Notamacropus eugenii: one gene and its partners. The protein of the gene in region 3 interacts with the protein of the main gene of each other region in a pairwise test. Links are inferred from orthologs where the notes say so. Each region holds a gene or a part of one and is shown on either strand. Other genes may lie near its edges.

Region 1 (7,280 bases), on a different chromosome or scaffold from region 3:
AAAATCCTAGCAGGATTAAGACATGAACAATAAAGAACATTTCAGCAAACTGGTTAAAATAGTGTCTGACACAACTCCAATTCTCAATTACACTCTCAGAGACACAAAAGATGGATAGAACTTATATCAGCAAAACAACTCATTAAAGACATAAAACAAATTTTAAAAATCAATGAAATAAAATTAAAAAGGTATAACACAAACAACAAAAACGATGATGGACTGGCCAAGTTGTGGGGTATGGAGGCAAACCTTCCTTACCTTAAATTTGCACTTTAGTTACAGACTATCATTTTAAAACAAAATCTTCATTATGTCAAATGACCCAATTTCACTGGTGTGGGTATTCCTCCCAATACAGATCACAACCCTTCCACAACATATGTGGTCTTCATATGCTGCTGTGGGCAAATGAGTTTATCACCTGGTTGTCAACCTTCTGGTGACGAACCTCTCCAAATTTAACTAGGACTGTCTTTGAATTACATGTCCTTCCACCTTGATAGCTCCTTCCAGAGCTTTACTTCACTCACATCACCCCCTTTCAGAAACCAGGATTGTTTGCATACTCTAATAAGGCTTTAGTAGTACTTTAGCAAAGGAATATAAAAAAGAACCTTCAGAAGGAAATATGTTCTATTAAATTTAAGCTTGAAACATGCTTAAGTGAGAAAACTTGCATAACAGAGAACTTCATTTTGATATCAAAAACTAAAGAGTTTAGGGGAAAAAATCCTAACATATGTACTATCCGCAGTTGAAATTTTTATATTTAAATGTGGAAACTTATCCTCCAACTTGACTGTACTGCCTAGTTTTATTGAAATGTAGCAAATAAAGGTCTCTGTCTTTGATTCTATACATATTTATGTCTCTTTCCACCTCCCTCCACAAAAATACAAGCAAAAGCCTGTGAGTAGACAAAAGGGACATTAAACTTTCACCAATATTATCTACTTTAACTAGTACATAGTAACTGTAAAATGTATTCAGCACAGTACATTCTCCCTCTGATAGTCAATTCCCATTAAGGTTCACAGTAGTTATAAATGCAACACATCGGAAGGGGAATTATCTCAGAATGACAGTGGAAAGGTCCATTAATGACACAATTTTTGTTTTCCACAAGGAAGGCACAAGGCCACAGGGTAGTGAGGTGAAGTAAAGACTTCCTACCAACTCCCTTTGCAATTAAGTGATGCTTTGTAACTGTAACTGAAAAGGAAACATCCCAAATAATTTGAAATATTAAAAAGATTATGAAAGAAGTAATTAGAAGTCATTTTACATCCTTAAATGTCATTGTATGTCAGAAACATATTGTTCGTTTGGCCAACTCCTACATAAAATTTTCCCTAGCCAATTTTCCTGTTTCTGTCTCCCAGTGTATGGGCTGTATAAATGCCTGAATTTACCTCTCAATCACTTTCAATAACATAACCCCCAAATGGAGGATTTTTTAACATCTTTACCAGCTTTTAAAATAGTAGCCGAACATTTTCTGCAAGATTTTTACATTTAAAAAGCAGGCCAACCGTGAAGACTGCCAAAATAAAGTCCTACAGACCGCGGCCTAAGATAAAACCAACCTCAACGTGAACCCCCCTCTCTTTAAAACAAACAAACAAACACAATAATCCCCTGTTGTCAAGATATTGTGAGATGTTAACCATTCTTGGTGAAATCCTGAAATGCATTGTGTTTGGCTTGGTTTGTAAAAGTCCATTATCTACACCTCAAATTTGAAGTTATCAAAAAAAAGTGAAAATCGTGACTTCTCTACATACTGTGATGACAAATTAAATTCTGCAAATAATTCAAAGTACAAAGATTAATCGATACATTTTCTAGGACTCAGATTATCTACATCCACGTTCAAACGGCTTATCAGCGTCCTCCAAATTTCATAGGCTGACCACTGGAAAGATGAGGAAAGTCAAGGAGAAAATGCCTATAAATCACAGTTTCCTGAAAAACTGACCAGCAAAGCCAGTGACTTGTGAAGTCCCTGCGGGAGGAGCAAACAAATAAAAACGTCCCCGAAGGTCTCCCAGCGGCCAAGCCGGGCAGGGGGAGTCTAGGCGAGGATGGCACCCAGCCCCCAGCCCCGGGGCCAGGAAGTTAGGAGTGCGAGGTTAGGAAGCAGGCGGGGCTTCTGCCTGGCCGGCCGGGCAGCGCGGACCGGGGCGCTCCCCTAAATAAAGCCCCGGCTCCGGCGGGAGGGGGCGGGGGAGGGCAGGAGGCTCACCTGGGCACTGGCAGCGGAGCCCGCTTTCGGCGCCGGTTCGGCAGTCCTCCCGTTTTCGGGTCTCCGGGGAACCTGGAAAAGCCAAGCAGGCAGAGCCCCGGCGGGCAGCAGTCAGCCGGGTCCGAGCCGGGGGGAGCGGGCGCAGGTGACCCGGCTCCCCGCCGCCGCCCCCGGGACCTAACTGACTTTCCTACCTCTCCAGCCTCAGCGGCTTCTGCTCCTCCTCCCCGCCGCCACCGCGGCCACCAACTTCTCCATGAAAAGAGATCGCCTCAGGGCCGGACCGCTCGGGCGCCCGGCTCTCCTCAGCGCCTCGCCTCGGCCGGCGAGCGCCCGGACCGCGGAGCGGGGGAGGCAGCCTGATCTGGGGGGACCTCAGGGCAGGGGGTGGGGGGGAGAGCCAGTTAGGGTGCCCGGGGCAGCGGCTGCCGATGTCGGGGGCAGGAGCGCCGCAGTTGTGGGGGGACCGGGAAGGTCTCTGGGCAGGAAGAAATCAGCTCCTGCAGGGTGTGAGGGGGCCGCGGGCTGGAGGGGGCCGGCCGGGGGGCTCAAGGCGGGGGGCTTTCTGGGTGCACTTTGCACAGGGCCACCCCCGCCCCCCTTCAGCACTTTGGGGTCACAGGGAAGGGACCAACCCCCCACCAACCAATCAGCTGCCTCACAGGGGACTGAGCCCGGAGCCGTAAACCAGGTCTGAGGTGGGTGGGGGTGGGGGTGGCTTGGTTGGTTGGTTGGTTTCTTCTCTCCGCCTTCTCCCCGCTCCCCCACCCCCCCTCCTCTGCCGTAAAGCCACATGCGCGTTCGCGACAGTTGGAAGAGGCGTGCCGTTCTGCGCCAGGACTCGTCTCCGATTGGCTCCACTCCCCGCTCCCCTCACCGCTTCTCCACTCCCTTCCAGACTCCGCCCCTAGCGAGAGGACTCGGGGAAGTTGCTAAGCGACCACCGCGCGAGGGAGGGGTCTCTGCGCATGCGGTGGGCGGAGACTAGGAGGGCATACGAATCTCTTGGAACTACGGTGCCCGGGAGGTAGGGACAGAGTAGTGTCCCTGGGAGCCATGGTCCACTTGGATCCTGAGCGTGAAGGCGGGGCTGCTTCCTCGGGACTCCTGGGCTGATAAAAACGGTGACGTGATGGAAGGAGGGGAGGACGCGGGCGAGTGGGGGAATCTTCTCCAAGGAGTTTGTGAGACTGACTGAAGGGGAAAGGGCCGACTCGGGGAGGGAGGAAGCGGGCAGTAGGCCCGGGAAGCCGAGGGTGGAGACAGGTGAGGTCTGGGAGCCCGCCGCTCCCCCCGGCTCCTCCGCCAGGCTCCGCTTTCCGGCTGAGCCCCCGTCCTTCCCTGTGCCGCGGGGGCCGCTGGGACTTCGCAGCCCGGAGCTCTGCACGTGCGCTTCGAGAAGTTGAGAGGACCGGAAGTGTGAGTTCTCTGGGGCGCATTGGCGGCACCGTTCTGCTAATGTTTCTTAAATACTGCTTAAATATGCCTCAAAAGTCGTGACCCTTAGCAGACGCGTGGACTAGACGTTTGTAAAATAAGGGACACTTGTACGCGCGCTTCGCTGTCTTTTTGTGGGGAAAGTGTTTTGTGTGTGAATGCTAAGTGTCCTGGTCAGTCTAAGCCCATGGTCTGTTATTAAAGTGCAGATTTTGCTGCTTTATAATCGCAAGGGAAGTTGGACTAATTAATGGACCACTGTATTTTTAAAAACCCACTTTGCTTAAGGAATGAATAATACTCATCCAATTTTCGGGAATAAGTGTTATGTTTAATTCACGTAACCACTGTATTTAGCTTCTAAAGATGTTACCAAATTGCTGTCGTGTTGATGTTATTTTTTGCTTGGTGGATTTTTTCAAATGGAGAAAGTTTGAAAAAGTAAGCCTTCATGGGGTGTGAAGTCTCTACGAGCTCTGAGCACAGACCAGATGATCGCAGATTTGTAAAGTCCAAAGTAATGAAACTTTACTTCCTTCTAAATAGTTTATAATGTATTCCACGATGCAGTATCATTTAAACAGTACCGTCACGTATAAGGAATAGTGGGAACTTCCCTTTTCTTCTCCCCAACTTTGCCAGACCACTGGTCATTGTTTTCTGTAGAATGAGAGTTGGATTGGATAACTTGTTTCAGGCTCTCAGGCTTGGGATTGAGCCTAAGACTGCAGACAGGGCCTATACACAGATCCTAACAAGACATGTCTTGGGAGACCAGACATAGAAATTCAAGTGTAACATTCCTGTTTTTAGAAAAAGCTTAATTAAACTGGAAGTAGTTCAATATTTCAGTGAAGTAGCATGTATTAATAACCTACTCTGTGCCAGGCACTGTGCTAAGCATTGGGGATCCAAGTAAAGGCAAAAAATAGTTCCTGCTCTAAAAGAGCTTAGTTTCATTTCATAAATTCTGTGAAATTGACCTGTCTCCATTTCTTGCTAGTTCATGACAAATTGAAACTTCAACTTTTTAGAACAGGGTGGCTAGACATTTGGGAATGTATAATTGTTAAGACTGGTGAGAGTCTAATCTTTCCTCAGCCTACATATCCTGAAAGCCTTCAATTTAACGAAGATTTATAAGCACCAATTATGTACAATAGGTAGCCTATAGAGTGTTGGACTTGGAGTCAGGAAGACTCATCTTCCTGAGTCCAAATCTAGCCTCAGACCCTTAGTAGCTGTGTGACCCTGGGTAAGTCACTTAACCCTGTTTGCCTCAGTTTCCTCATCTGTGAGATGAACTAGAGAAGAAAATGGCAAACCACAACAATATCTTTGCCAAGAAAACACCAAATGGGGCCTGAAAAACTACTGAACAGCATTGTACAAGACACCCATTGAATTCCCACTGTACTGCTTCATTGTTTCTGGAGAGGTAATCCTTAGTCCTCAAATGTTATACCTGCAAAGTGCAGGCCACAGAAGATTTTGCTAAGCTGAAAACACCGTGAGTATAGGTATGGACCCTTTCGGTCTGTTCTCCAGGGTCCAACCTAGGTAACTAAGTTTAGAATACCTTCACCAAATGATTGGAAAGAAAATTAAGTTTGTTTATTTTTGGCTTCAGCCGTCCATTGAACCATCTCTGAGCAAAGCCATTTTGTGATCTGCATTGCTGCAGTGTGCCCACTTGAAATAGATTTTGAAAGTATTCAAATAAGTATGTAAAAAATGATTACTCTGGGATTGTAGATATGAAAGGACCTCCATCATCAAAGGCTTGACAATCCTGTGTGTGTGTGTGTGTGTGTGTGTGTGTGTGTGTGTGTGTTTGTGTGTTTGTTTGAGGATGCCTTAAATACGGCGGAATGCTACACTCTGCTGTAAGAAAATGTTAGGGTAAAAACAGAGAGAAACTCAAAAATATTGTCTGATTTTCCAAAATCACTACAGCCTACTCTCCTCTTCCCAGGAAGTTCTACAATTAAATCACTGCTATTCAAGGTGGCTGTTCAAGATATAGGTACTGATGATTTATCTATGTAGCTGAATTATAGCCTGCTGCACAATAGGCATTCTTCATCTACTTGTTCCCCCCACCCCCACCCCTTGTAGATCAGTAGGCCAAACTCTTGATAATAAATATCACTTAAGAGGCTGTGAAGCCTGCCCAGGCTTGATGTAGTTAACAAAATGTCATACAGAAGGAAACCTGGAGACCCTTACTACCTATGAATTGTGGCCAACTCTTCATGACTCCATTTGGGGTTTTCCTGGCAAAGACGCTGGAGTGGTTTGCCATTTTCTTCTCCAGCTCATTTTACAGATGAGGAAACTGAGGCAAACAAGATTAAGTGACTTGCACAAGGTTACAGGTAATCTGAGGCTGTATTTGAATGTGTGTGTGTTCTTACACTTTTTGTTTCCTTTTATACCTAGCCTTTAATATAAAGTCTGTTGAATTAATAAATTTGTAAAGTTTGTACTTTTTAGTGGCCCATAGTTTCTCAATATCCTTAGTAATTTTTTTTATGTTATACTATTAATTTCCACAGGCAGAGTATTTCAAAATGAAAAATTCCATTTTAGAAAACTACATTGATAGTAAAACTGATTGTTTTACTACTGGAATGGAGTACTTGGGAAATGAATCTACTACAAACCATTTATATCACAAGTGAGATTACTGAGACCCAGAAAAGGTAAGTGACTTGCCCAGGGTCACTGGGCTAGTTGTTGATACCCAGTTTTTCTGATTCTGTGTAGTACCTTGCTACTACATACTCCTTCTCCTGCTCATTAAATTGAAGTTAAAATGGTTTTCAAAACAATCAGAGTGTCTTCTTTAATGTAACCACAGATCATACCATTGGTCCAGAATTTAAAAGTACAGATCATCAAAACATAATTTTCTGTATTATTTAACAACTATGTATTTAAATGCCTGCCAGGTGGTGCAGTGGGGCAGCTAGGTGGCATAGTATTTGGAGTGCTAGGCCTCAGACACTTACTAGTTGCATAACCCTGTGCAAATCATTTAACCCTGTCTGCCTCAGTTTCCTCATCTGTAAAATGAACTGGAGAACAAAACAGCAACCACTCCAGTATCTTTGCCAAAAAAACACCAAATGGGGTTACAAAGAATTGGACACAACTACTGCTGTTTGTTCTTTGTTCTCCAGAAGGACCCTGACATTAGAGAAGTGAGGCCATGACAAGCAAGTGAATTGAGTTAAAGTGAGGGAGGGCTGTGCAAAGTGATCAGCCCCACTTTCTCCTCTGGAGCCATGTGGGTGCAGTAGCCAGATACAGATCAGGACAACTGGACACGGCCCAGGATGCATTTGGTCTTTTCAAGCTAAGATTTTCAATTGGTCCCAGTTTGGCTTAGGTTTTGTGTTCGTCCTTCATTGCCAAAGAAGACCATGCCCTCAGAGAAATGATGACATGACTTGCACTTGACTTTGTTTTGAGTGAGGGAGGGCTGTGCAGGTCACCAGCCTCACTTCTCCTCCAGAGCCATCTGAATCCAGTGACCAGATATTCATCAGGATGACTGGAGATGACCCAGGATACACTGGGAGACCTTGGG
Region 2 (7,539 bases), on a different chromosome or scaffold from region 3:
GCCCTAGTGTAAGGAGGACTGGAGTTCAAATCTGGCCTCAGACAGTTGACACTTACTAGCTGTGTGACCCTAGGCAAGTCACTTAACCCCAACTGTCTTGGGGGGAGTAGGGTGAAGGCTTAGACTTGATGACCTTGAAGATCTTGCCAGTTCCATGATCCTATGATTACTATAAAACAGATGCCAGATGCCTAATATAGAAATTATGGGAGAATCATAACCTACAAGATAAAATGCTTTCCAGTGTGCCCCTGTTTAAACCACTATTAGCCCTATGTTGCATTTGAATTTACAGAAACAAAGTCTGCACATTTATATGATTATTTGGGAGTAGGGAAAGGTTTAAGCCACATTGTTTTTTTTAAAGCAACCATGTGAAACTTTTAAAAATGAGAGGGAAAAATGTGTGTGAATGTGTGTGTATATATGTGTGTGTGTACTTACATATATACATATACATGTGTATAAATACATATATCTATATCTAGATAGATAGATGATAGTTAGATAGATAGTCACTTCCCTTGTAGTGATGACTGCTGATCAATTTTAAGCATTTACAATATTTTTGACAGTCACTTCTAAAATATTTTTTCAGGATCTCAAGAGATCTAAATTTCTGTATCTATGACATATTCATAATCACAGTTACAAATACGAATCACTGAGGGTCCTAAAACCAAAAACTGCCTATCTACCTCATACTAGCTTCTGCTTTCCATAAAGGAAAAGACAGCAGAAAATACAAGGAAATCTTGGAAGATGCCCAGCCATGGATCAAAGTTAAGTAGATGAAACTAGGTTACAGATTACAGGATTTTAGACTACTTTCCCCCCCAGGGAAGTAATGCTGAATTAATGCCTAAATGGTTAAAGAGCAGGCTCCCTATATAACTGGAAGAATTTCTAGCACATATGAGAATATTTCCTAACTGCAAAAAGCAGTAAGCAGAGCTACATGACTTGTGTTTTCCCCTTTCTAAAAAAGAAATTCTTTGCATTGATTAAAGAAAGATGGCAATGCCAATTCAGAAACCACATGCTGACGTCTTTCCCCACCACGTAAAAAACTGACTCTGTATTTTATAGGTACAAATAGCTCCAATTGGTTCAACTTCCTCTGACCTCTAATATTCTTTGCATGAAAACTCATGTAATGTGAATATAAACGCGTACAATTAGTTAATCTAAGGTTTCCTTTTTTTCTCCTTCACTGTTAAATATTTTGTACCAGCAATGTCAAAGAAGATATGCTTTGTACTTTTATTTTCTGTATTTTCCTCCATATTTTGCTCACCTTAAAATATATTTAAGTCTTGTTATTACTATTGGAATTTCTCAGAGTATCATGAAAACCATCATATGACAACTCCCCCCAAACTTAACATACCCAGCAGACAGGAACTTAAATTTAGAAATGTAAAAAATGTTGGATTTCGTATGGATCTGGGTTCTTTGGGAAGTCAAAACAATCTGTAAAGTGGCTGCAGCCTGTAAGGAACAATACACACACAGGAAGCTTAGTATCTATCCCACACACTTCCAGTATTCCAGCTGTCTTTTAAGAAGAAAAAAAAAGCCTCCCATTTACCAGAAGGTAATGAAAATAAACAACGATCCAAACAGAAAAACTCATTGCTCTACCAAAACACCTCCTAGGACAGGTTGAGAGTTAAGAACACGGGAGGTTACAGCTGAAGGGCTAAAAAGCTACAGGCACAGGATGAAAGAGGTCGGCCAGGCAGCTTTCCATAAGGCAGGCTCCCGCTTCTCCCTGTTGGCCAAATAAGGCGCAGGAGCTGGCTGGTTTCAGACGCCTTGACAGTCAGGAAGCTTGAACCCGAGGATCAGATCGAGCGATCACACCCTAAACCTGCCCAACCCAGCTTAGCTATGAGTTTGTTTTCTGAGCACTTATTTCTTCCCGGCCTCGTTCTACCCTTTTATTTTTTCCCACTTGTTGTCAAAGACAAAGTCTTAAAAAGAAATACCTAATACTTAAAAAAAAAAAGCATTTGTAGCTCAGACTAGTGCAAAAAGCATTTATTAAATGCTAGGCACTCTGTCTGGCCCTGGGAATAGGGAGAAAACTGAACGCCTCTGACCTCAAGGAGCTTCCTTACTGGCTTGTATTTTCAAAATTTATTAATGAGGATTTACTTTATTGCCGGTTCAGCTGGAACTGGCCACAAACAGGTTACACAACTGTAAATAATTCGCTTTTGCAAAAGAAAAGCAACTCTCGGAGACAGATTCATGTGCATGTGTATTTCAAAGGAAAGGAAATAAACAACCTCCTGCTCTCCCCACCCCCCACCCCCAAGAAGAGAAATACCCACTAAAATAATCAGCAAAAAGTGTAAATGAAGGCAGTGCCCAGGAGCCAATGGCTGCGGGCGGGCTGACAGGCTGACCGGCTGGCACAGCCGAGCGGGGGAGGCTTCTGGGGCTTTGCCCGGAGGCTCTTTCCGCTTCGGGAAGGCTAGGCTGGGCAGGGCTGGGCTGGGTAGGCGAAGGTGCCGCCGCCGCCGCCTCTCGCCCGCCTGCCCGCGCTCCCACTCCCTAGCGGGCTCCCACCGAGCCTCCCCAAACGGTAGCCGCCGGCCCCTCCCTCTCCGCCCCCGGGCCCCGGGCAGCGGCCACAGCCCTCCCTGCCGGTGATCGCGCCACCTCCCCGCGCTCCCTCCACAGCCAGCTCGGGCGCGATGCGCTCCGGAGGGCACAAGGCTCTCCGCTGGCGCCGGAGCCTGGCTGAGCACCTGAGGACCCCGCACCGCTGCGGGACTGAGACCGCTCGCGCCTCTGTCCTCCTCCACGCCTCCCCTTTCCCTTGCCTCCTCACTTCTAGGGTATTCACCGCTAGTCCTCCCGGGAGCCGGGCTCGGGCACTCACCCACAGGGCAGGAGCTGCGCTGTCTCAGGCGCGGGGCAGCGCTGACAAGTGACGGACTCCCAAGGCGGCTGAGCCAGGCTCCTAGCGGGCACTTCCGCCTCCACTTTCTCCCGCGGCTCCTCCCACGTCCCGGCCCAGGGGGGAAGTCCTCGGCCCTGCTGGCTCCCGGGGCCACTCCCCTCCAGGGATCGGGAAGTGTGTCTCCAGTATAGGGAAAATGGACAGGGAAAATAGCTGCGCTAGGAAAAAGCCTTCCAGGAGGGGAAAGGTGGCCAGGGGCATCTGAAGCGCAGCCTTCCTACCTCGGAAACCAGAGTGGCACATCGCAAAGATTCCCATTTCCTCCGCAGCTCTGTTTCTTTCTCTGTATGTCTTGTATTTATAAAGTAATCAAATTTTTACTAAAATGGAAATGCCGATGGCTAAGATTTCCCCAGCCATGCGAGTTCAGGGAATCCCCTCCTATATAGTACAGGAGATTCCAGTGTGCTCATAGAACTTTGGTACAATCAGTATCTTTTCAATGAAGGAAAAGGCCAGGAATCCCATACTTCAGATGAAGAAAGGGTGACAGTTCCCCTCTTCCCCCCACCTTCCCCCAGGAGTGAAGAAATCTGGGAGAATAACGATCGCTGGTGATTGTATCACACTGTATAGCTTGAAAAGGGCCTCGTATCATTTATGGAAAATACGTAACATTATATTACAAATACATATACTCCCTAGATATGAGAAGTAGTGAGTGGGTAGAGTTGATCAGGGAAGACCTGGTCAGCATCTAGTCCAGCCTTTGACCCTGGGCAAATCGCTTAGATTTTCAGACAATAACAGTCAATAAACCTTTATTAATCATTCACCATGTGCTAGGCACTGGGCGAAGCTCTGGAGAAGAAAAAGAGGCAGAAAAAAATAGTCCCAGTTCTCTAGGGGCTCAGCGGGGGAGAAAAGCAAACAAATATGTACTAACAAGTTATATAGGATAAGTGAGAACTAATTAGGGAGGGCGCTAGAATTGAGACGCGGGAAAAGACTTCCTGTAGAAGGTGGGAAGATGGGGTCTGAGTTGGGACTGAGGGGAAGCCAGAGCGACCGGTAGGCAGAGATGAAGAGGAAGGACATTTCAGGTATGGAGGACGGCCAGAGAAAATGCTAGAGATCTGGTTCTGGAACAGCAGTGTCAGTGGATGAAGAGATGAGAAAATGGTGGGAAAGGGTAAGGTGTAAGAGGACTGAAAGGAGGGCAGCCAGGCGGCTTGGTAGATAAAGTACTGGCCCCAGAGGGAGAAAAACACCTGAGTTCAAATCCAGTCTCAGATGCTTAATGGTTCAGAGATGTGTGACTCAAGGCAAGTCAACTTTGATTGTCTCACTAGAAAAAACAGAAGAAAACTGGAAAGGGGTTTTTTTTTTTTTTTTTGGGAGAAAGGGGAAAAAGGAATTAGTTATGAAGGTCTTTGAATGCCAGACAGGATTCTGTATTTGATCCTGGAGGTAAAAACGATCCACTGAAGTTTATTGAATAGAAGGGGTGACATCCTGGGACCTGTGCTTTGGGGAAATCACTTTAGTGGCTGAATAGAGGATTGATAGGAGTGGAGAAAGACAGGCAGACCCACTAGCAGGCTGTTGAAGAGTCCAGGCAGGAGGTAATCAGGGTCTGCACCAGAGTGGTGACAGTAAGAGGAGAGAAGAATATTTGAGAGATGAAATCCACTGGCCTTGGCAAAATATTGGATATGAAGGGGTGAGAGTGAGAAGTGGAGGATGACTCCTAGGCTTGGAGGTGTTTCTCAGGGCTGTAAATTCCATAAAAGATGCTAACCTGAAACAACAGAGGGAATTACCTTACCTTACTCATGAAATAACATGCCAGTCCCTCTTCTTATATCTACACATAGATATATGCTTTACTTTTCTCTTAACATACACATACACAAGACTGACATGCATTTTTGGAGGGAATGAGATCACAGATCCATCATGGTATGGAAAGAACTTTGCTGATCTTCAAAGGGGCAAAATATAAATTTCCTTTGTTGATTTACGTGTGGATAGCAATATAGTCTCCCCTAGTAGAGTATAAACTGCCTGAGAGCAAATATTGTTTCACTTTTGAGTCTGCTGAGCATCCCAGTGCTAGCAGTAGGTACTCAATAAAATCTTTTTTATTGGCTCTATCCTTGGAGTCTCAGGACAGCTCTGTGAGTTAGATACTACAAGCATTACTATTTCAGTTTTAGACATTAGAAGTCTGAGAATACACAGCTGGTAGAAATCAGAGGCAGGCTTGGTGGTCTCTCTTGGTGCTATGCTCAAGTCACTAATTCCTCCCTTTGTCTGAATTACTAACTTATTTCCCAGCTTCTATACGGATATTTATTTAGTGCTGCCCAATATCTAGCCAAAGAGCAGCATGTGTCTAAATGTGTGAATAAGTGTGGCTAATGCCTAAATAATTTTGCATTTGGATATTTTGATATGTTACAGAAGGACTTGGAGTCAGAAGACCTCAGCATCGCTTAAACTCCGAATTTCCTAACCTGTAAAATGGAAGTTGAAATACTTGTACTCTGTATGTCAGTGAGCTGTTGGGAGAAAAGCACTTTGCAGACCTTAAAGCCATGTGTAGATGTGAGGTTAAATTACATAGTCTTGAAGCAATTCATTCATTCATTCATTCATTCATTCATTCATTCATTCATTCAAGAAGCACTGAGCAGGTACTATGTGCCATATCCTTTGAGAGGGACTAGGGGTGCAAAGACAAAAATGAAACAGTTCTTGAATTCAAGGAGCTTATATTCAATTGAAGGGATTCAACATCCACATAGGTAAAGAAATATAAATATGTAAAAAATTATAAAATAGCATTTAGGAGGAAGGCAGAACAAAAGGGGATGGAGTCAAGATGGACCCTAGTTTAGGAACTGTCACTTAAGCTGAACCTTGAACCTTGAAGGAAGCTAGACATCTTAACAGATAGGGGTGAGGAGGCAGTGTGCAAACCCAGCCTGGGGACAGCCTGGGCAAATGCAGAATAGTCCAACTGAGCAGGAACCTAGAATAAGTGACGGAGAGTTTGGAGAATGAAAATGGAAGATGGATTAAAGCCAGATTGTGAATTATTTTAAAAGCCAGAGGAGTTTTATTTTATTCTTTAAGTAAGAGGGAGATACTGGTGCTTTTTGAGCAGGGGAGTCCCATGCTTGGAACTTGGCTTTGGGAATATGACTTTGGCATCGATGTGGAAGATGGATTAGAGATGGGAGAGAAGGGAGGTAGGAGGACCAATTAGGAAGTGATTGCAATAGTCCAAGTAAGAACTGATGGAAGACCTGAAAGAAGGTAGTGATTGTGATATGAACAATGTTGTATATGTGGAATTGACAGGATTCAACAACTGATTGGATATGCAGACTAGGAAAGAGTGATTTGGGGAGGATAATAGAGAGGCTGGGCTCCTGAGTGATTACAAGAGGAAGGAGACAGCATGGTATTGTGGACTAGGGCACTGGACTTGTAATCAGAAAGATCTGGATTCAGATCTTGACTCAGATAACATATCTGTTATTTGACTACACAAATATATCATATCATATTATATCATATATTATATCATGTCATACTATACTGTATTATATTATGGTATGTTATTAAATTATATTTTATATATATAATATTTTTAATATTATATATAGTTATAATTTTATATTACATATTTTATTACATTATATATTTATATTATATATAATATATTTATGTTATATATAACTATATATTAATATGTAATGTATATTAAATTATATATGATATATAAACATAATATATATTAAACTATGTTATATTAAATTACATTGTTACATTATATTTATTATGTTGTTATATTATATTACATATGTGCATACACACATATCTATATCTGTATCTATCTGTCTAACTATCCCATCTCCTTAACCTCCCTGTGTTTCAGTTTCCTCATCTATAAAATGAGGGTTTGGGCTACCTTTAAGGTCCCTTTCAGTTTTAAATCCATGTTACTACTATGGTACTGTTGACAGAAATAGAGAAGTTAGGAAGAAGGGGGAGGGGAAGGAGAAATGATCAGTTCTGCTTTGGATGTGCCTTTGGGACAGATACCCAACGAGAAATGCCCGATATGCATTTGGTGATGTAGGACTCTAAAGACTGGGGTTTATATTTGTCGATTTGTCGATTGGGAGTCAAGTGCATAGAGATGCTCACTGAATACATGGGAGCTAATGAGATCACTTAGAGAAAGACTGAATAGTGAAAGAAAAAAAAGAGAACCTAGGATGTGGTCTTGGGGAATACCAATAGTTAAAGAGCAGGAAGAAGAGGATTATTCTAGCAAAAGAAAGCCATCTTTCTGTTAAGTTAAGAAAATGTGAAAAGTGAGGAGCCCTAAAACAGAAAGAAGTTTCTTCCCAATAAAAGTGAGAATTCCAGAATATGAAGGCAAAAAGGTAGGCTGAAATTAATGGAGCTGTTCATGGGGTAGGGCTGAGGTGAAGAGGCACAGAAGTATAGAGAAAGAGAAGAGACAGCACAGTTTTTTGCCTCAGTGTTTGCTGATCCTGAAGCACAGGAATAGGAGTATTAGAATCTGGGAATGTGTCTACCATAGA
Region 3 (7,482 bases):
GCCTATAGAATTGGGGCTCAGGGTATTCTCATCTTTCTCCCTGACCTTTCCTGGAGTTTGCTGACCAGTTTCATTTGGGTGGGGCCTCTCACAATGACAGGCTTTTTTTTTTTGGTGGTGGGGGTGCTTCAAAGCATGATGCTGAGAAGAAAGGAAAGCTTGCCCATGAATACCTGGCTCCTTCTAGTTCTGACTGCTGGAACTTGGGACAAGTAAAGAGAGAATCAGAGAGCTGGAAAGAAATGTAGAATTATTGATTTCAAGCCCTCACCCAGGTCAAGAATCAATTCCCAGGACATCTGCTTGACCACTGGCCTAGGGAAATTCAGACTTTGGGTAGAAGCCTTGGAAGCCATCTGGGCTCCAGAGAAGCAAATGTGGGATTGCTCCCTAGGTGATAATATGTTCCTTAAGCCCTGAATGGGGATGGCTTCATAGAGAGCAGTGCAGCAGAATGCTGGTTGAATTGTAGCCCTCTGGATAAGACTGTGCCTCTTCCACTCTGGTGTCTTCCTTCCAACCTTGAAGGACTAAGCTGTGGGGAGAGGGGAGCCTTGCTTGAAAGACAGACCACAATTTTGGGGGCAGGAGCAGGTAACATTGTTGGGATGAAGTGAGGACCAGTGTCTCAGATGAAAAAGCTCATCAGGAAATCTTTTGGGGTGGTGTGGCTTCCTTCTAGCAGAGTCAGCCCCATGAGATAGACCCTAGTTAAGTCGTGTGTGTTCAGGAAGAAACCTTGAAGTAGTTGCTTCCCTTCCCCAAAGCCTTAGGGTGACTACTGGGCCTTAGTTTGAGATGAGGAAGGTTCTAGGAAAAGCTCGGGGGAAATAATGGAGTCAAAGCTAGGAGCTGCAGGGGGAGGGAGAGAAGAAAGGAGTTGAAAAGTAGGAAGGGAGAAAGAAAAGAAAGCATTTTAGGGCAAGAAAACTCACCATCCATGGTTTGACCCCAGCGCTCCAGGGATCCCCAACATTGGCCTTTCTTCCTCTCACAGCCCTCAGATCCCTCACAGGACTTTGCAGGGGTCACTGGAAATCCTATGGAAAGAGAAGTATGAGAGGCACAGGAAAGGCTGGGGAGTATACCCATCCTAGGCAAGTCATGGGTGCTTGAATCCTAATGTCAGTCCAAGCATCTCCCCATTCCTAGCTCTGATGTCCCCTATCCCCCAGCTATGGCCCCTCTGCTGGTTCCAATTGCTGTACTCTCCCACCCCACTCCCAGCTTTGCTGCTGACCCTGGCCCTGCCATCATCCCCATTCTGGCCCAGGTTTCCACTTCTGCTGCTGCTTTCTACTCTACCCCACCCCACTGCCATCCCTCCACCTGACTCTGCCTCTGAATTTCCCCCCTCCCATCCTAATACAAATAAAGTCCTCATCTCTGCTGCTGTTGCTGGCTGCCCCACTCCCAGCTCTGCTGCTGATTCCTGACTCTGATTCCTCCTACCAACACAGGTCCCCCACTTCTACTGCTTCCATCGGTTCTAACTCCCTCCTCTTACTGTAGGTCTCCACTTCTGCCTGCCCTACTCCCCCTCTGCTGCTGACCCTGACTGTGAATCCCCTCTACAACAGATCTCTGCTTCTCTCTGCCCACTCTCCACCCCTAGCTCTGCTTCTGACTCTGACTCTCTGGACAGCCCCTGCCCCAACACAGGCCCCTACATCTGCTTCTATCTGCCCCACCCCCAATTCTGCAACTGACCCTGGCTCTGTGAATCTCTTCTCCCCTCCCCCCCCTCCTGCCTAGCACAGGTCCCCATATCTTCTCTCTGTCCTTCCTCCACACCCAGCTCTGCTGCTGACCCTGACCCTGTGAATCACTCCCTTCCCCTTCCCCTGCTTACATTCCCACATCTACTGCTTCTTATCTCCCATATTTCCAGTTCTACTATTGACTTTGACTGGACAGTCAGAACTGACTAGGTCTGTTAAACCCAGCTCTGTCTCTGTCTCTCTCCATACATAAGCCAGAGAATGTATATTTAGGAAAGAGAGGAAGATGAGAGAGGGAGCAGAAGGTAGAGATGGAGGGAACGGGAGAGAGGAAGTGAAGAGAAAAAGCTTGGGGGTTAGGGAAGGGGCAATGGCAAAGGGGGTTCTGTTATCTGGAGTGGGAATAAAATGCCATCATCACCATACTACCTGATTTTCTACTCCTCCCCCCCCCCAATTATCCACTCTTCACTGTGCCCAGTGCCAGAGGGGATCTGAGAATCTGTGCGCACCCACAAGAGCCCCGGGGTCAGAGCCGAGCAGGGAGGGAGGGGAGGGCGGTGAAGCCGCTTCGCGGGGGCTGGGGGGACAAGGATGACCAGAGAGCCTCTCAAGGCAGGATGCAGCGGCGGGCTGGACGTGCGGGGAGAGCGGGGAGAGCGGGGAGAGGGATGGGAAAGATGGAGACCTCGGCCTGGGGAAGGAGGAGGGGAGGAGAAATGGAGAAGGGCAAGGAGAAGCCGGATGAGCAAAAGCCCTGACCTGAGCACTGGCTGGGCCGGCTCGTGGCTTCGGGTCCATCCCCAGCTTCCGTGTCCATGGCCGCAGCCGCTGCCGGCCCTGCTCGGGACCGAGCCGCAGAGCCTGGGGAGCGGGAGGAGCGGAGGAGGGGCTGCTGGGAAGGCGTGCCCCAGGCGGGGACCGAGCCCAGCCCCCCGGGCTCCCCTCCTGTCTCCTCTCCGGCCCACCTGACGCAACCGCAGGCGGGAGTGGGGTGGGGAGGGGGGAGCTGGAGCCTCTCTCTTCTCAGGGTCCCGGAGCCCCACCCGGCCGGTCACTGCGCGCCGCCCGCCTGGCGTGCTCCTGGGAAGGGGCTCGCACACATTCCTGGCTCAGGTGGGAGCACCTTGACCCTTGGCCCAAAGAAGCAAGAACAGTACAGGCTCACTGGGGGGCAAACCGAGAGCTTGGATGGACGGCTAGGTTCAGGAAGTGGCTGCTCCCGTGGGAGCCCTGCTGGGAGAGGGCTCAACAGCCTCCCGGCACCTCCCCCCAAGTCGCTGCGAAGTGGGGAGGGGGTCTGCGCAGAGGAACCCCGGGGCCTGGCCGATATCCCTGGCTTTGCTGCCGAGGTAAAGCGGAGCATCCCCCTGGGATGATGGAATAATCTGCCCTGTATTATCTTAAGCAGAACACCCTCCTCCCAAGGCCGAAGTCCCTGGACTGGCCAGCTCCCTGCCCCGGGTTCAGGGCTTGTCCTGGCTCTGGGATGCTTCCAGGCCCACAGACCAAGTGGGGAACCTAAGGTGACGTGGAGGCTGGAAAGAGACGCATGGAAGGGACAGGGGGGATGAAGCCCGGTATTTCTGGTCCTCTCTCTTCCCTGCCTCCCATCAATTCTATAGTCAGTCGGGGTCATTAGGCTTTATTATATCCATTGACTACGCAGCCCTTTGTTAAATGGGATCTGAAATAGTTTCCTTGTTTGTAAACCCTAAACTGCTACCTTGCTCTTTCTCTAATACAATTCCCTAATGAATTCCACAAGCTATAGTGAGATATCTTTCCTCATAACAGTCACTTTGTTAAGTGCTCGGAATACAAATCAAATGTAGCAGTCCCTGCCCTCAAGGACCTTATGATCTAAGGGAAGGAAACAATGTATTTGGAAGTAAATATGAAATATGGGGGTGCTAAATGGCACAGTGGATAGAGTGCTGGGCCTGGAGGAAGGAAGACTTGTCTTCCTGAGTTGAAATCTGGCCTCAAACACCAACTGTGTGACCCTGGGCAAGTCACTTAGCTCAGTTTGCCTCCGTTTCCCCATCTGTCAAATGAGCTGGAGAAACAACAAACTTCTCCAGTCTCTTTGCCAAGAAAAGTCTAGATGGGGTCAAGAAAAGTTGGGCATGACAGAAATGACTAAACAGCAACAAATATGAACTATCTTCAAAGTAACTTCTGGAGGTAAGGACATAGGTCTAATTCTGCCAGGCAGTTTCATTAGCATTAGAACAGGCTTCAGAGGACACAGTGGAAGAAGAGGAAGAGTGCCCCAGGAACAATGTAGGGACAGTGTTGGTAGTGTGAGCTTTGGCCTCAGCAGACTTCAAGTCATAGTCTGAATGTATATTGGCATGTCAGTCTAGTAAAGGTAGTGGTGTTTTGATTATTCCAGAGAAAGAGATTGCAAGCTGTTGGGAGCTGGCGGATGTGCACTCTTCGATAGGGCAGATGGCCAGGTCTTAATCTTTTCTAATGGCCAAAGCAGGGATTGGAGTTTAGGCTAGTTATAGGGCCCTCAGCCAGATCAGCTTTTTGTAGATATGGTAGATATATAATTGTCACTGTATATTATAAGAATTGTGTACACATAGTGTTGGGTTGTTTTTTGTTTGTTTTGGCTTGGTTTCATTAATAGGGATCTCTGTCTACCAATGTCAACCAATGTGCCCTGTAGCCTTAGAGAGGTGCCTGGGACCCAGAGATTACCTGATTTGCTTGGGATCCCACAGTCAGGATGTGTCAGAGGCAGGTCGTGAGTCCATATGGTCCCAGTTTTCTGGTCAGTCCTCTCTCCAGTCTCCTCTACTGCTTTTTCTACTGTACCACACATATGCATGTATACATGTGCCATACTTGTGCTACTGAATGTTTTCACATATATTATTTCATTCTCCAAACAACCCTGTCGAGTAGGCAGGGTAGACCTTATGTTGCTCATTCTTCAGACAATGAGGCCCAAATGGGTCAAGTGGGGTCACCCAGCTAGTTAAATGGCAGACTCCAGTGGAAAGCCAGACCTTCCAACTTCAAGCCCAGGATATTCTCCACTAATGCCACCACTGCTTCTCAATTTACTGAGTATTAATGATACTCCAGGTGCTGATTGCCTATGGGACTCTACTGCTAGGTTCACCTATGAAAAGAGTTGGTAACACAACAGAAAATGGTGGCAGTACAGAAATAGACCCATGATCCTAACGACATACACAAAGTCTTTTGTGTCTATACTTACAGAGACACATAGGAAAAGGAATATCCTGTGGGCTCTTCCAGCTTCCCAGATACATGAAGCAAACACTTACATGTGTACATGGAATCCAGAACCATTGCTAGGGGCAGCCATCTGGAGTTAGACTTCAGGTGGATAATCCAGAGAGTGTCCCCCTAAAGACTTCCTTTGCTTTGATGACCTAATTCCATCAGACTTTCTTCTTCTGCTTGCCCCATCCCAGGAGCTCTTTGTCCCTCTTCAGCAGCTCAGAAACCTGAGAGCATTCCCTGGGTCATTTCTTTCTGCTGGGGCTACACTTCACAGGTCCTTCTCCCCTGCTTCCTCTCCTCTTACCTACCCTCAGCCTACTGCTCAAGGTTCAGAAATATGTTATGACTCTGATGCAGTCTTTTCACATGACTTCATGTACAAATCAACAGTCCTAGTCCTTCAGTTTTATACATTTCATACACTTTGACACACAATCTCTGCCAAATTCACAAGGTTACTGTTTGCTGCTAAGGTTAAAGAGGCTTTGTGAAAGGACTGGATGGGCCAATCAGTGCTGAAAGACACAGGCCTTTTTATTGGGACTTCTTAAGAGAAGGCTATGGAGCTCCACTTTTGGTGCTCAAGGAAACCTGAGGGGTGGAGGGCAGAGGCAACAAGGGAAGGACACTGGGGCAGCCTACAACCTCCTCCCTAGCCAGTGCCAGGATTGATACCTTCAAACTAGGGAAGCCCTCCCCCCTTCCCCCCCAGACATCAGCTGGGAAAGACTCCAAAAACAGGCGTGGGAAGGGCTAGGAAATGATACAACCAAAGTACTGCAAGGGAGTCTTCACCGTGGCCGCACAAGGGAAGCCAGGGTGGGTTTGTAAGAGGCTGTTCTTAGAATTTGGTCCAATGATCCATCAAACTCTCCTTTGTACTCTTGCCTCCATCTTCATGTCGCTCAGGGAACTCCCCAGTTGGGTAGTACGGAAATTTTATAAGGAGGGTTCTATGGAGGTGAGTCTCATTAGTCTCCCTCCCTGAGATCACAGGCAGGAAGGTGCCAATCAACCAGGGTCACAGAAGAAGGGCAGGGCAGAGGAAGGAGATGCTGTGGGGGAAAGGGAAAGGAACAGGCATTAAGCACCTATTATGTACCAGGTCCTGTGTTAAGCACTTTACAAGTATCCCATTTGATCCTTACAACAACCTTGGGAGGTGGTTGCTACTATTATCTCCACTTTACAGTTTAGAAAACTAAGGCAGGCAGAAGTTAAATGACTTGCCCAGGGTCACACAACTAGTAAGTCTGAGGCCAGATTTGAGTTCAGGTCTTCTTGACACCAGGTCTAGTACCACCTAGCTGCCTCTATCGCTAGGATATAGATAGCTTGTTGGAGCAGGAAATACTAGGCCTGCCTTTAAAAAGAGAGAGATTTTCCAGACTCTCTCTCTCTGTCTCTCTTTCTCTCTGTCTCTCTTTCTCTCTGTCTCTGTCTCTCTCTCTCTCTCTCTCTCTCTCTCTCTCACACACACACACACACACACACACACACACACACAACCTTATTCCAACCCCTAAATCTCTACTGGATTAATTTCAAACATATAAACATCATACTTTGTTTCTAGAGAAATCTATCTCAGAGAGAGAGAGAGAGAGAGAGAGAGAGAGAGAGAGAGTCACATAATTGGACTCAGTAGTCCTAACTTCCAGCTTGTCAACCTGGCTATACTCTCTACCTTTGTCCAGAGACTGGGATGTATCAGGTTAATTCTGTGTCTTCCACAACCCAGGGGTCCAGACTGGCCTTAGTTTGACTCTTAAGTTTATCTTGAGTTTATTCAGTATTCTGTGCTGAGAGTCGAGGTCATCTCATTTGCCTTGAGTTTTTTGAATTCCTAGGGATCCTAGACCCAGATAACCTTGGTGATGGGGTTTGAGTCTGGTCTGTTATAGAATGGCAAAACCAATCAGATTGGCCTCAAGGGACTCCACTGGCATGAGCCAAGATTCAGGAATAACTACTTTCTAGCTCACTGCATGTGATACATTTTTGAGCGGCTGAGTGGATTACTAAAGCTAGTACTCAAATCCAGTTCTCTTAAAGACAGAGACTTATAGATCTGGGTCATCTAGTCCAGCCTTCCTCTACCCCCTTCTTTTACAAGTCAGGAAACTAAGGCTGGGAATGGCTGAGTAATTTGTTCAGTCCCACAGCTATTTTGGAGGCAAAGATGGGACTGGACCCCAACTCTTCCAAAGCCCAGTGTAATGCCCTATCCACCTGTGGGATGCCTCCCTGTGGGATGCCCACTGGGGATGACCTAAACCTGTCATCTCAGTAATCAGCTCAGAGAAGAGTTGGTTCTAATAAACTCCATCCTCGTGTTCAGGAGCTCATCCTCCTTCCTAATCCCATCTGAGCAGCTCATCCTTCCTATAGATTCATGAAAATAATTCTCCTGACTGTCTTGGCCTCTCACCCCTAACCCTCAGTTGTTCCCTGCAGCCTTTTGAGTTTTATTCCAACAACTGACCTTTTTTCA
Region 4 (8,013 bases), on a different chromosome or scaffold from region 3:
CCAGCCTGGGCCTTCCACCCTCCACCAGAGCACCCCCTCATCTGCCTCAATAGGTTTTCACCTAGCTAGAGAAGGAGGATGAATCAGAAAGAGGGTAATGGCCTGCTAGGCCAAGCTTATAGCCAGAGATCCTGCTGGGATCTCTCCTCCCAGCCTTTGGAGGGCACTCAGCACACACCCTTAACTTGACAGAGGGGGTGAAGTAAGGCCAGCAAGTGGTAGTGGCGGGGAGACCCCAAGCAAGGTAACAAGGGCAGAGCTGGCAGAAGAAGCCAGACACCCTCACCCCCACCCCAAGTGTCCTGGTTCGTGGATGCTCACTTTGGGGAAAGGATCTGATCTTTAAAACAAAAGCCTAGAACAGAGATCCAAGTCTTTAAAAAGAAAAAAATCGAAGGCATGAAAATACTTCCTTCCCTCCCACACATATTTGAGCTCTCCGGTGCCACCAATTTAGAGGGATGTTATGCATATGATGTATCACAGAACTTTCAGAAAGTCTAATAAAGAGAAAAGGATAGAGACCTTGATGTTCTTTTTGGGGGGCCCCTCTGGCGCCTGGGAGGAGAAGAGAGAGAAAGGCCTACTTCCAGCTTTAGCCTACCCCCAAATCTACAACTGCCAAAAGTTCTGACTGGGTGGCATTTTGCATTTCCAATTATAATCGCGTAAACGTGTTGCCATAGCTACCGCAAAATGCTGCCATAACTTTTGTTGCCTCGTAATTGCCGCGGTGACTATTTGCACACATGCAGCTGAGTTTTCTTCATTCCATCCCACCCCCCCACACACACCCCCATTAAGTTTGAGGCTCAGAAACCACAACAGCGGCTTTGAATCTAAAGCCCCTAAAATAAGGCAGGGAATTATCAGAAACAATTAAAACTCCAGGCAACCGCCTGGGCCCGATCCTATTACAAAAGGGGGTGGGGGAGGCTAGGCTGACAGGCAGGGCTGGCTGGCAGTCTGGTCGGTTTGTTTGTTTACTTCTGCCCAGCCTGTTTTCTTTAAAGGCACTAGGCTTTCAGATGCTTTCGGGGGACTTGTGGTAGGACCAGAAAGGCCATCGGAGGGGCAAGCAGAGGAGATTGAGCCTCCAGCCCAGCCATCACCACCACCGGTAACGGTGATGCTGACAGAGACACACTCCCTACCTAGAACCAGCAGGCATTTTTTTCATTAGGCAATTAGGCTGGTCTCTGTAGTCATGCAATTAAGATTTAGTTAAGAAAGTCATTAGTTTAAAATAACTTAAGTTTAATTTCTACAAAGCTTTATTTGAAAATTGTGTCACAGCAGGTCAATTTCCAGCCACCCAATAAAAGGAACCTTCCTAATCAGAGAGAGAAGTTATTAGAAATTGTTGATGGGCCTTCCTTCCGAGACAGGCCCTTCTGGGGCACACAGAAGGTCTCCAGCTATTCCAGTGGCCAATCAGTCTGCGTACAGAGGAAATAAAAGATAAGTTGCCTCTCATTTCATGTTGTGTTTTTGCAATGCCAGAGGAGTTCTGATAATATAACCCAGCAACATCCCTAGGCTGAGAAAACCATTCCGAATGAAAGCCACCCAGGCCTGCTAGGCAGCCCAACCCTCCTTCCTGGCTGGGAGGGATCTGAGCTGCTTCAAGCCCCAGCCCTCAGTTTCCCGGGCAAGGAGAGGTCCAGCTGCATGATCTCCAGGCCCCCTACAGCGGATCCCGGCCCTGGCACAGGGATGGATTCCGCTGCAGCGACTTCAGCCAGCGGTCGCTCCTTTTTTCCATTCTGACAAAATGAAGCCTCAGAACTGCAGTTTCTTACTGTGGGCTTAGCTCCCCTCCCCATTGCCCCCCACACACACCCGAGACGCATCCAAGCCCGTGGGGTCCCCGCTGCTCAGCCCTCCCCTGGAGGATGGGTCAGTCCTGCTCCAGCCAGGCGCTCACTCCTCTGCAGTCTGGGGCTGGGCGCGAGTGGCGAGGCCTCCCCATTCGCAAGCTCCTTGCTCAGCGCCCCCCCCACGCCCCCCCCACCCCACGCCCAACACACACACACACACACACACACACACACACACACACACACGCCAAACCAAACCGGTTCGGGGAGCCCACGCCAGGCAGCCAGGCACCTATCTCTGTCCTCAATCTGCCCAGGGCTTCAGGCTGGGACTCAGCAGCCCCGCAGCCCCCAGACTCCAGACGTTACGAGAGGGGTGGGCTGGCGCTGGACTGGGGGGGTCCCCAAATCCCACACCAGCGCTGGGGTCACCGATCCCCATCGGGGAGGGGGTTCCCCAGGAGATCGGCCGTTCTGCTCGAAGCGCGGCGGGGGGGCTGGGTGGGGGTCTGGGGCCGCCTCCCCCTTCTCCCCCCCCCAGCAGGATGCTCTCCAACCTGCTGGCGCAGCAGCGGCGCCCTGGAACGAGCCGGGCCGGGCGGGGAGGCAGGGGCTGGGGGAGCTGGCCGAGCCCCGCTGGAAGCCCGGGGGGAGACGCAGCTGGGGGGCGGAGATGACAGGCACGGTGCTGGGGGAGGGGGCAGGGGGATGACAAGTGGGGACCCGCGCCTGGGGGAGGGGGGCAGAGAACCGGGGGCTGGGGGAGGGGGAGGTCTGTGTCCCGGGCCGGGCTCCGTCAGTCCGTCTGCCTGTCTGTCTGTCTGTCTGTCTCGAGGGAGGGACGGCAGCGCGGGGCCCGGGTCGGCGTGGGCACCGGGCGGAGGCGGACAATGGCCCGGGCGGCTGCCCTGCACTTACCGGGGCGGGCTCCGGGGCGGCGGCCGCGGCTCGGGCATCGCCTCCCTCTGGGGCCGCATCTCCCCGGGCGGGCCGGGCCCGGGGCGGCGCTCGGAGCGGCGGCGGCGGCGGCGGCTCCGGGCTCGGAGCGGGCCGGGCCGGGCTGCGGAGGCGGCAGCGGTGGCGGGGCTGGGGCTCTCGGGCACTGGCTCGCTCCCCACCACGGCGGCGACGGCGGCCCCACAACCTCCCTCCTCATTCACAAAAAATTGACCCACGTTGAACCAGGAGGCTCAGGCCCCCCCCACCACGCCGCTCGTCCATAGGCCGCCCGCGCTGTCCATCAGTGGCCACGGCTCCGCCCCCGCCGCCCGCAGCCCGCCACCTATTGGTGTACCTGGGCTTGCGTCACCACCCCCTCGCCGCCCTCCCTCCTCCCGGACTCCTAAGGAAGCGCTCGTCAATTACGGTTCGGCCCCGCCCCTCCAAGGGCACCTCTCCTCCCTCCCATTGGTCGGCTCGAGGAAGGGGGGCACCACCCAGGTCGCTCCCGCCCCTCTCCCGAAAGCCGAAGGACCCGACGCGAAAACGGAGCGCCGGTTAACCCCGCCCCGGAGAGGCACGTTCGGGAGCCGATTGGCTACGGCGGCTGCCCGTCAATAGCGCTGCGCGCCGGCCCCGCCTCTTAGAGCCGACCCGCGGAGCCAGGGTGAGGGGGCGCGCGCGCGCAGGAAAAGCGGGACAGGGCACGTCGGACTGGCCTAGAGACTGGACCCACACCCGGAGCGGGCGCAGGAGGGCGGGGCGAAGGGGCCCAACGGACCAGGAGCTCGAGCTCGGGGAACCGTTAAACCGGCCGCGGCCGCCATCTTGGGGCAGAGCCTGCGGGTCACGTGGCTCGGCCATGCGCGCGGCCCCCCCCCCCCCCCTTGCGTTTGCACGGGGCGGGGAGGGAGGGTGAGTGGGTAAGGGGGAAGTCGGGCGGGCTAGTGGACGGGCGCTGCCCAGTGCGCAAGCGCGGCCCGGCCCTGGGACGCAGGAGCGCCCCCTTCTGGGGTCTCGCCCAGCCTCTCCTCCTCGCTCAGCTGCTCCTGCCCCGGCCCAGAGAGGGTGCTGGACTTGCCCGAGGTCACACAGCGGCGCCAGGTCCGAGAATCCTAGAAGTCTCGGGGTCGGACTGGGCACGCCCCTGCGTGACCCTGTGCGTGACCCTGCGCCTGGGGGATTTTCGAGCCCCCCTAGGCCGGCGCCCCGATTTACACGGAAGGAAACCGAGGCTCCCCCCAGCTGCAGAGGCTTTGAAGGACCTCCGATAACGTCCAGGTGGGGCATGGCAGGCCCCCGGAGGAGGAAAGGGACTTATCCAAGGTCACACAGTGCAGCCCATCAAAAGCACCGCTCAGGCTCCAAAATTTATTAAGCACCTACTGTGTGCTCAGTGCAGATGCAAAGAGAGACCAAGGCCAGCCCTGCCCCCAGGATCCCCCCCTCCAATAGGCAGAAGCTTCAGTCACCTGTATGCAAATTAGATACCCACGGGGAGGGTTAGGAAGGGTTTCCAAGAAAAGGTGAGGCTTGAAGGGAGGGCACTCCAGGCAGAGGTCTCAGCCTGAGGAAAGGCTTGGAGGCTGGAGATGTATGGCCTGGAAAGAGGAACTGAGATCTTGTGGGCTGAAGCAGAGGAACCAAGGTCTTTGACTCCACAACCAGAGATGCCTGGGGAAATTCGGCCAAAAAGCAACCTGCAACTTGAACTGGATTAAGAGTTGCAGCCTTGGCCGCTGGGGAGGCAGTTGTCCTCTTGCCCTCCGACCATCCAGCAGGACAGGGATGAGGCCTGTCCGGCCCAGCTCCTGAAAGCAGAATTGAGACCAACTGAGGCCTTGGGCCCATGAGATCTGGGGAAACTCGATGCCTGAGAGGGCTTTGGTGCCATGGGCCCCCTCCCTGGAGACCTGGAATATTAGACTGGTGACCATTTGTCCTGAAGATTGGGGGGAGGGGGTCTTGAAGGCCTCTTCCAAATTCTGCTGAATTCTGAGCTTCTGAGGAATGCTGGAGGAAGCCAGAAGCCTGGACTACATAGCTCCTCTGTGCCATACACGGCAAAGCCCCTTGGATACCCAGATGAAAAGGATAAGCCCTGCCTGCAGGGAGTTTCCACCAGTTTCTTCATAATGGATTCTCCAGTCAGATACTCTCTATGACAACAACAGTTTAAATTGGTGTAGTTTGGTCAAATGCCTATCTTACTGATACCCTGCCTGCACCTGCTGTTGTCTCCATTCTACATATTTGGAAACTGAGGCACCAAGCCAGGAAGTGAATTATCCAGGGTCACACAGAAAATTAGCGTTCACTTCAAATCCAGCATTCTTTCCAGAGTGAGATGAGGACAGAGACACACTTTTGCCCTGGGTTCATGAATATTTTAATTGCCTTCTGTGACATTCTGGTAGTCTCCTCCAGGTCAGGCTTGAGTCCACACTCCCAGCCCAGCTGAGAGTGCCACTGTGGATTGTAATCTCTGAATCTTTTCTGGGAAGCAGAGTGGATGGGTACTCCGAGAATTGTTCCTGGGCCCCTTTCTCTCAATACTCCCCTCTGTCTCTTGGTGACTTTTCAGCTCCCAAGGGTTCCGTGATCTGCTCAATACAGATAACTCCCAGGCTTCCATGTCTCCCAACATCAGTCCCTCTCCCAAGCTCCCGGGGACCTTCTAAGGCATCTCACATTCAAGGGGCAACACTTGAGACTTCAGATATAAAACATGGAGTTAGAATGAATGGATAAGAAGTGAGGGGATCACCAGGGATAGTGATGACAATGAAATTCCACCCTGCCAGCCTGCCACTTGAGAGCATCACTGTGCTTCAGACAGCCAAGGTCTCCATCCCTCCACTCTAGAGGTTTGGGCTGCTCCTGAGGATCAGTCACCCTCCCTTCCTCCATTGCTTAAGGAAAGGTCTCTGCTGCTGCTAGATACCGCCTCTGCACTCTGAAATGAATCCTCATAGGTAGGCTTGTAGTCATCAACAAGCATTGTTTAAGTACCCACAGTTGTTAGGCACTGTACTGTAAATTCTGGGATTACAAAGAAAGGCCCCCAAAACAGTCCCTGTCCTCAAGGAGCTCACCATCTAATAGGGCTTTGTTTGAGTCTGGCTTTACTATTCTTGCTCAGTCATTAAATTAGGGTTTGATGGGACCCTCCAGATCTAACAAGTCCCTCCTCCAAGCCCTGAAGGAATAATTCCTGGTTGACAGACCAAGAAGACATACACCTAGGCCAAGCCATGACTTGGCTTCTTTGTGGAGTCCTTCGCCCTCAGAAGGCCTTCCTGAGACTGGGGCACATCAACCCTCTGTGGCCAAGCAAAATCACATGAATTCCTCCTCCATGACCCAACCTTTCAGGTGCTCAGAAGCCCACAGCATACCCCACTGAGCTCAGTGTATCAGGAACTCAGATTTGTGTCATCCACAAACCTGCTCTATGCAGGATGATTCACAGAATTGTCGAGAAGGCTAGGCCCATCCAAGGTTGGAGGCCCTTCAGAATTAACATGGCTTTTTTAATTAACAAGGCCTGAAGTCTACTTGTGTACAGTCAGCTTGTCCCACATTCGAGAGGCAGAGTGGTATTCTGTGTTAAGATCTTGGATTCAAATTGTGCACTTAAGGCTTCCTTGATGGTGACCCTGGGCAGGTGACCTCACTTCTCTGAACCTCAGTTTCCTAGGACTCAATGTCCTCCCAGGTGTTGCCCAGTCCTGGAGCTGTGAACTTATGGCGTCATCAGTTATTGAGAACGTTGAAATGAGGTGAAATATAGGGACTTTGCTTCTCAGCTTTGGGGGGCCTCTTGCTCCTCTCTGGATTGTCATGGTCAGCCTCTCTGTGTGTCCTCTCTGTGCTGGAAAGGCTGCCCTCCCTGAGTCCAGGCATTAGAGGAAGAGTAAGTCAGCCAGGGGCATCCTCTACTTTGAAGAGACTTGAATATTCAGAAACAAGACACAACCTAGGTCACAAATCTTCCTTTCTAGGTCTTCAGCAGTAAAATTGAGTCAGCATAAGGGTAGGGGAACACTCTAGACAGAATCTGTCCAATCCAACCCAGACCTTAACAGAAAACCATTCTCCTACACGCCCAACAAGTGGCATCCAGCCTCAACTAGAAAGTTCCCAGCGACAGGAGGCCTCCCTTCAGACACTGACTCCCCCCAGCTCCCACCAGATTTCCTTGTTGGGAAGGGTCTTTACCTCTCCTGCTGAGCTAGCTCTGGCCTCTGCTATGCAAAAGAGTGGGCCTAGGCTGTCAAGGTCAGAGTCCCAACCTTGAGAGTGGAGCCCCAGATTCCCGATTTACTCCCTGTGTGATGTAGGCCCTTAATCAAGTTCTCCTAAATTGGACCCTGCCAGCTTTCAGTCAGTGATCCTGCAGTGGTGTCCTAAAATCTCGTCCACACTCTAGCTTTTTAAATACTTTCCCAGGGCCTCTCTTCTTCAGGCTAGATAAGGAGTAGCATTGACATAGCCCTTTACAAATATTAGCCCCAGCTTTCTCCCAAATTCCAGCACTTTCCCTCTGGCAGGTACTTCCTAATAATCCTGTTTTGTGGGCATTTGTTGCCTGTGGCCTCCTCCATTCCACTGTGAACTCCTGGTGGGCAGGGACTGTCCAGTGACTATATCCCCAGGGCTTACCAAGTGGTGGGTACTTGGTAAGTGCTTAATCATTGTTTATTGACAAGCTGACAAATGTCTTAGAGTCCCACACTTTCTCTTGCCCCACCCCCTTCCCCTAAGCCTTCCTAGCTGAGATGTCTCATAGGTACCAGGTGGCCTACTCCCAGTCTCCTCATTACACAGTGAGTCCCTGGGGGGCTGGAACTGTGCTTGCCTTTTCTTATGTCACCAGTGCTGAGCTCAGTGCCTGGCACACAGTAGGTGCTTAATAAATGTTGGCTATTGTGATGGTGCTGATGGTCATTGCTATTAACCGGCCATTGTACCAGAAAAGAGAGAGCATAGAAAAAGACTCCCACAGAGAAGCAGGATCTGGTGAGTTCTCCAGGGAATGAGATGCTGCCAGCTGGGAGCAGGAAGTCTCTCACCGTTGTGGACCTCTGTCTTGGCTCTTCTTGCCCGACTCTTTTCTGATTTTAAATGAAGGAGGGTTGGAAAAAGAAAGACCTGGAGGCCTTTGAAAGGTTGGAAAAAGGAGCCAACCCTGAGGAAAGGCCCAGCCCAGCAGTGGATTAATCAGGCCACCAATACAGCACATCCTTGGCTC

Evidence for each region.
Region 1: the proteins of CCDC136 (region 3) and ASB7 interact in binary tests that used the Homo sapiens proteins (3 or more experiments, as listed by UniProt). The two-hybrid records come from large-scale screens. The link is inferred for Notamacropus eugenii from reciprocal best matches to the Homo sapiens genes CCDC136 and ASB7.
Region 2: the proteins of CCDC136 (region 3) and PDLIM5 interact in binary tests that used the Homo sapiens proteins (3 or more experiments, as listed by UniProt). The two-hybrid records come from large-scale screens. The link is inferred for Notamacropus eugenii from reciprocal best matches to the Homo sapiens genes CCDC136 and PDLIM5.
Region 4: the proteins of CCDC136 (region 3) and HDAC4 interact in binary tests that used the Homo sapiens proteins (3 or more experiments, as listed by UniProt). The two-hybrid records come from large-scale screens. The link is inferred for Notamacropus eugenii from reciprocal best matches to the Homo sapiens genes CCDC136 and HDAC4.

The regions. Positions count from the first base shown.
Region 1 is NC_092872.1:154,030,229-154,037,508, forward strand, and holds the start of ASB7 (ankyrin repeat and SOCS box protein 7), read right to left. Parts: upstream 3,012-7,280; 5' UTR 2,443-3,011; intron 2,321-2,442; 5' UTR 2,249-2,320; intron 2,009-2,248; exon of another isoform or gene 1-2,008. UniProt on the Homo sapiens protein: Probable substrate-recognition component of a SCF-like ECS (Elongin-Cullin-SOCS-box protein) E3 ubiquitin-protein ligase complex which mediates the ubiquitination and subsequent proteasomal degradation of target proteins.
Region 2 is NC_092878.1:131,766,192-131,773,730, reverse strand, and holds the start of PDLIM5 (PDZ and LIM domain protein 5), read right to left. Parts: upstream 3,016-7,539; 5' UTR 2,894-3,015; exon of another isoform or gene 2,843-2,893; intron 1,492-2,842; exon of another isoform or gene 1,391-1,491; intron 1-1,390. UniProt on the Homo sapiens protein: May play an important role in the heart development by scaffolding PKC to the Z-disk region. May play a role in the regulation of cardiomyocyte expansion. Isoforms lacking the LIM domains may negatively modulate the scaffolding activity of isoform 1.
Region 3 is NC_092874.1:121,335,294-121,342,775, forward strand, and holds the start of CCDC136 (coiled-coil domain-containing protein 136), read right to left. Parts: upstream 3,002-7,482; 5' UTR 2,542-3,001; coding exon 2,484-2,541; intron 1,041-2,483; coding exon 936-1,040; intron 1-935. UniProt on the Homo sapiens protein: May play a role in acrosome formation in spermatogenesis and in fertilization.
Region 4 is NC_092873.1:67,091,874-67,099,886, forward strand, and holds the start of HDAC4 (histone deacetylase 4), read right to left. Parts: upstream 3,014-8,013; 5' UTR 2,739-3,013; intron 1-2,738. UniProt on the Homo sapiens protein: Responsible for the deacetylation of lysine residues on the N-terminal part of the core histones (H2A, H2B, H3 and H4).